2 linked regions of the Daphnia pulex genome follow. The protein of the gene in region 2 purifies or fractionates together with the protein of the main gene of each other region. This does not show direct contact. Links are inferred from orthologs where the notes say so. Each region holds a gene or a part of one and is shown on either strand. Other genes may lie near its edges.

Region 1 (2,517 bases), on a different chromosome or scaffold from region 2:
ACGAAACAAGCAAACATGCTTTATCGGAAATGCACATGGAGGAATTCCTCAATTCCACACACTGATGAGCTTTAAGCTTCCACAATTTTCAAATCCGCCAAAACCAAAACATAGCAACCGTCGTTGAGCGAAAGTAGCGAACCTATCGGTAAAAATCCTCAACATCTTTTATGGGTGTTTGTAAATGGCGGGATATCGTCATTTCGAAAGTTTACATTAAGAAAAAGTAATTACACTCTTCCATGTTATGTTGTCCTTCAACGGTCGATATCAAACGATTATGCTTGAACGGAAATGTCAATAATAATCTAGGGTAGTAAAATCGATGAAATTCACAATATATGTTATGCAGGCATTGCATTCCGGTTCAAAGGCGCAGGTGCGGAGAAAAAAACAAAACACGAACAATTCAATTTACACGTTTATGTGTGTGTATATAGATATATTCTGTAACAATTTCAATAAAACGACATTACATATAACTCTATTTAAAGTGACTGACGTTAAATTTATTAACTATTCCGAAAAGGAATTCGGAAGCAGTTTTGACATAGACATTACACAGGAAGGAGGACAAGCATGAAGAACATATTTGTTTGTTCGTCTGTAATAAGAAGCGAAGTACTACTACTTAAGGGTCCGGAGTTAACTTAAAAATGTTGCACAGATGGTTGTCTTTTAACAATGGTGTCCATTCTTTTTTGGTTCATTTCTTAAAATTTCACAAAATCGGTAAGTTATGGTCAATCATCTAGCTGTGGTTCGTTGTCCATGCTATGTCTTCGAGACGAATGTAGCAACAAAAGTTTAGAAACTAGAGAATCTCCAAATGCTTGTCGATACAAAGGACTAAGTTTGTCGAGTAAAGCGTATGGTGTTTCAAAGTAGTCATCAGATGAAACATCTGTTCGATTGTAGTCATAACCAACTACTCGAAATCCTTGGGCAGTCAGTTCAATGCAATAACGTTGTTTCTCTTTGGTAGTCAGATTCATGTGAATTAATTGATCATTATTGACAGATCTGTCTGCAATAACTATCTCCAATACATGGTCCTTGACATCATGTATTACTGCAAGGGCTTCTACTGTCCATTCTTCACCATTAAGAATTCGTTCATCATAATCGTGCCCAGCCATTGAGAGTCCTACAGTGATGAAAATATTAATTTAATATCTAAAGTCAAAGTTTGTTTGCTTTGTGTTATCCATACCAAACTACTATTGTTCAAACTCTAAAGTTTGAAGGCTAATTAAGATTCACTCATATCACTAACTGGTGATATGAATTTGTATGGTCACGAAAAGTAAATAAATGAAGAAATAAGTCGGTTTCAATTACCTTTTGTACTTTCGCTTCGTCCGGTATACAATCAACAAAGCTCTTTTTTTTCAACAAGGGATGTGTACTGCACGGTTTACGATATCGCACAGGATTGATGCCACTTATTGAATTACGGACTAGGGAGTGGACACTCGTCACTCAACAAAGAAGGCACTAATCAGAGCGAACCAGTTAATAACACCAGAGACCTGAAACCAGACTAAACCAAAGTCCAAATTTCCAAAACAGTAACAGACGACGTAAATAGTATGCCTTTAGGGGTCAGCTGATTACCACTTTGTACTAGATTTAGTTAAAAAATGCATTTAAATCAGGTTTCTTTTTGATTTTTTTCTTACGAAATATATATTTTTACAAATTCAATTATAAACTCAATATAGAAAGCATATAAAAAGCTATTTTTGTCGGCCCTCTACCGATAGAATTTCTAAGCTCGTTATTTCAACTGATCATCTGATTCCTATCCCCCTTCCCCCGATGGCTGCCCGGTAACCGATTAAACACTGCCCAACTCTGCACACGAAAGAACAAATTTATAATAGATATTCTGTGATTTTTGCACAAAAATAATTTAAGAAATGACAGCAGTTAATTCTAAAGTTCTTGAGTTTTGCCAGTTCATGGGAAGATTGAAGGTGAATGAATTACTTCTTTGTGTGCAAAAATATGCCGGCGTTTGCATTTCGTTTTTATTTTTGTATCGTAGCATCTTCCGAGAACTGGCTGGGTGATAAGGGACATCCCTAATTGTGAAACTGTGGCTGGTCACATGTAGGCAATTATCAGATAAAAAATTTAAAATCCACAATAATATTTTTTATTTTGTACTGACGTAGGTACCGAATGGCCATGTTGACTTTTCTTTTGGAAACCAAAGATGTTGATATTCAAAGGTATTTTTATTCTCTTATTTTATTCATCTTCAGTAAATTCCAAAATGTATTCTGTTCAGGTGCCTTAAAATGTGTCTTGTCCATGATATGGCAGAAAGCATTGTTGGTGATTTGACTCCTCACTGTGGTGTGTCAGTTGAAGACAAACATCGTCGAGAGGAAGAAGCCATGGAGACTCTAATCAAATTGGTGCCTGAATTGTCTGGTGAAGATATGAAAAGGTGAACATAAAATGTTGTGCCTTTTCTGTTACAAATATTAATTTTACATTATCCCAGTC
Region 2 (3,838 bases):
CCCATCCAGCCGTAATCCTCGATCCTGCGCTCCTGAAATGAAAGTTAAACCCGATTCAAATTTACAACCATAATTTTTCAATTAGATAATGTCCAATACAATTTCCTTTCCTTGATTGCAAAGATGGCGTATTGTCTTCTTATAATGTCGCAGTCTATATAAATGACGGAATAATAAATGTCAGGCTAATTCAAAGTGGCAACTGGAAAGCTTTCAGGTGAACTTGTTTTTACTTGCAGATTTGGTTTCGTCCCGCGGTCCGGGACCGTGACTTCCCTCACGTTCACCATCTAAATTTAGGTAAGTCATTCCGGTAATGAGGTAGTGGATTTAGTTTTCAAGTGTCCGAACGACAAAAATAGAGCCAGTCTTGTATGCGCATTCTGCGCGTGAGCGTCGACTTGATTCACGTCACGATCGACGCATTGCGGTGCGTAATGCGTCTCAGTGATTCTCGTCCCTGAATACTTGTGGCCATTCGTCTCGACTGCGTTGAAGCGCTGCTATGAATTTTGAAGACGTTATCAGATTGAACAATGTTTTCATCTTAATCAAGGTCCGATCAAATGTCCGTAATACGTGCCAAATATTAGCTCGCCATTTGAAGGCTGACGCACGCCGTGCAATTTCCATTTGGTTTGTTGTTTGTTCCTAGATTAACTCCAACGATTGAGAAAAGAAAAAATTATGAAATCCAAAGAAATATCCATTGCCAAAAGTTACCTCATTATTCATTACGCTGTCCTTGGCTAAAAGTCACCATCTGCATACATAATTATGAAACACTTGATTGATGGAGCCCATGACCTCAAATAGTAGCCTCACATTTTGTTTTCGGGCAGTACACGCGAGTGTATTTATAAGCTTTTGTATTCATCATACAGCCATGCGACATAAACACCAATGCAATTAATTAACTGTTGTTGTAGACACGTCTCTCGCATTCCTTTAATCGCCACTTTTCTATAGCGCGGAAAGAACGGGTTGGGATATTCGGGAAAAGGGGCAGAATGGGGAGAGGGAGGTTTTGCAAAAATTTCTCCATTTCGAGAACATGGAAACGTCAACAAGGGCGAGGACATGAGAGAAAAAGAGTCAACGGGATTTTCCTTATACGGTAGAAAGAGGATATAGGGTAATAGGGTAATAAGAGGGTGTGCAATCATCATCATATTATAACTTTGTCGTCGTCGATCAATTCAACACAAGAAAGGGTAGAATGAAGAAAAGCCTGACCCTAAACTCTTTTTTTTTTTTTTCCTTTTAAATTTAAATTTTTTAACATTTTTTCCTCCCACCTCTTTTGTCTTTTTTTCCCCAGCAGCACACGCACAAGTAGGTAGTGGCTATACAACTGATACTGAAACAATTGTTTTATTTTTTGTTTTTCTTTTGTATGTAATAATATTGACCTACTCAGAACTGAAATTGCATTTTAAAATCATAAAAAAAAAAAAAATTTAACTCGGCATGACGCTGTGGGGGAGGGATGTGAATGAATAAGAAACGAAACCTATCAGAGAGAGAAAGAGAAAGAAAGGGAAAAGAGAGATAGCCAGAATGAAAGAGAATAAACGGGAATCAGGGATAGGGACATACACGTGAGACATATAGCACAGCTTCACTCAGTTACGCCAGACGAGGAGAGAGAGGGAGGGCAGCAGCGGGATAGAGAGAGAGAGAGAAAAAAAGGTGTCTATAAAGTTCCGAGTTTTGAACGTTTCGAAAGAAGAAATATACGTTTTTTTTTAAGAGCCATGATAGGAGGGATGTAAAGGAGCAGCATCGTAGTGCACACACGGTATGAGCACGCTGTCGACGAAATGAATAAAGAGGAAGAATCGGGGCTAGTGTGAACGAAAAGGGATATTTTGTCAAATTAATTGGCAACAGCAGCTTGTTGTGTGTGTTGTGAGAGGGTTGTTATGAAACCGCCCTCCTCCTAAAATGGGGGTGATGAGAGATTTTCTTGAGGGAGGACGAGGTGAAGCGGAGAAATTTTCCGCGCATCAGTCCACCTGGTGGCTTTCGAGCAGGTGATTTTGTTTTCTTCCTGTACAGTACAACAAACGGAGGGAAAGAGGATGGAGTGTCGTTGGGAAGGGAGAGAGAGAGGGGGGGGGGGATAAGGACGACACGATCTACAACACGTGAAATTTTCTTTTTTGTCTTTTTTTTTTGTTTTTTGCTTCCATTTTTGCTTGCAGAGGGACTCGCAATAAACTACACATCCTCTGCTAATCCGTCGATTTGGTATAAGGGGAGTCGAGAAGGAAAAAAAAAAAACAAACAAATGATGTGGGAAATAAACCATGGGAGGGACGTCCGCGATCCAGAACCTGAACCAAGGTAACCGGACCGTGTTATCTGGGACGTAGCTCCGGCGATGAATCCGAAAAGGAATATATTTCCCGCGCTCACAAAAGACTATGTCCTGAAAATCTAAGTTTTGCTTCTTGTTACAAATTACAATTCTTTAGCTGTTGCTGTTGGGAGGTTTCAAAAAAGAGTCTAGTCCTTCATTCCTTAATGGGGGGAGAGTTTTTCTTTTTCTTCCCGTCACCCACCCTTTTTTCCTCTTGTTTCGTTTTTTTCGTTTAACGCTTAATGAATGTTTCCATGGCAGCGGTTGCAATCGATAATTAAGACTTCTAGCTTTTAAAAACTTCCATTTAATTCAAAAAAAGAAAAAAAAAAGTTATCCCCTTTCTTCCTTGGTTCAGCTCCTGTTTCTGCCATGCATATAGGAGGAGACGATTGGGTGGTGGTTAAAGTCTTGTCTTTTAGTTTTTTTCTTCTTCTTTTTCTTTTTCGTGGATTCGATTCGATTCTTCTATGCAGTTCCGACGGCTCCAAGAGTCTCACCGGTCGAAGAGCAGACATCAGGAGGTGAATGAATGTGACCCCCTGCGGCCCCCGAAGCTCCTGCTGCAGAAGATCCTTCCGCTCCACCAGCCGAATTAGGAGACCCAGTGGCTGAAGAATCTTGAGAGGGAGATGTGGCGTTCATGACGCCCATCAGGCCGCTAGCGCCTCGCATGTGGGGCGGAATTAGCACGGCGTTCAGGGCCGGTTGAATCTTCAGTTCTGTAATGCATCACCATGTAGGCGAATACGAAAAAGGAGAAACAAGACAACAATAATTAGAAATCGCACAAAATGTTTTCAAAGACCCGTTAGGTTTTTCTTAATGCTGTTACCATGTTCAGTAAAGTTGAAGAGGACGGGCAATTCTCGCCCGTTGGGTAACCTCGTATGAGGGTCCCTAAGTTCTTCGAAAAAGGTGTGAGCGCACGCCTCTAAAGGCGAGATGCGCGCCGAGGGGGTGTATTCCAAGAGACGCGAGACTAAATCGATCGCTTCCAATGGCGTCCGAGCACGGAAGACCTGACGAAAACACAAATTCAAATTTATGAACCGATTGGTGAGATTACTAAAATCAGCGACACGTCTATTAACACCGGACATTTAAAAATTTTTAGAAATTTTTGCAGTACATTTTCATGATTAGATTTTTTTCTGTGTGTTTAGCGTTGTTTGAAAACCCTTTATTTTTGGAGAAAAAAAATGAAAATGAAATAAAAATCTGGATCTCTCCAATGGATCGTGGAACAAAAAAAAAACGGATGGAACATGGTACACACGTATGGTGAACACGCTAGTCTTCATGCACCAGGCATTCGCTCATTTGACTGTGTGTGTGTGTCGGCAGAGAGGGAGGGCTAGCAGCCAACGCACACAACACAAGCGATCGATAGTTATTTTTTTGTGTGTGTTTCCTATCCTACTCGTGTCAGCAGGGGAGGCTCGGAGGGGGGTTTAACAGGAGGGGCGTTAA

The links.
Region 1: the proteins of glycogen synthase kinase-3 beta-like (region 2) and GSK3-beta interaction protein-like purify together in Drosophila melanogaster (affinity purification with mass spectrometry, with the first as the bait; 3 studies listed by BioGRID). This does not show direct contact. The link is inferred for Daphnia pulex from reciprocal best matches to the Drosophila melanogaster genes sgg and CG11523.

The regions. Positions count from the first base shown.
Region 1 is NC_060028.1:7,359,748-7,362,264, reverse strand, and holds GSK3-beta interaction protein-like, read right to left. Parts: upstream 1,140-2,517; coding exon 744-1,139; downstream 1-743. Other genes in the region: 5'-deoxynucleotidase HDDC2-like, read left to right, coding at 1,923-1,979, 2,051-2,115, 2,181-2,237, 2,297-2,458, 2,516-2,517.
Region 2 is NC_060024.1:9,786,595-9,790,432, reverse strand, and holds part of glycogen synthase kinase-3 beta-like, read right to left. Parts: intron 3,388-3,838; coding exon 3,201-3,387; intron 3,088-3,200; coding exon 2,834-3,087; 3' UTR 16-2,833; coding exon of another isoform or gene 1-15. Other genes in the region: beta-galactosidase-1-like protein 2, read left to right, coding at 1-15.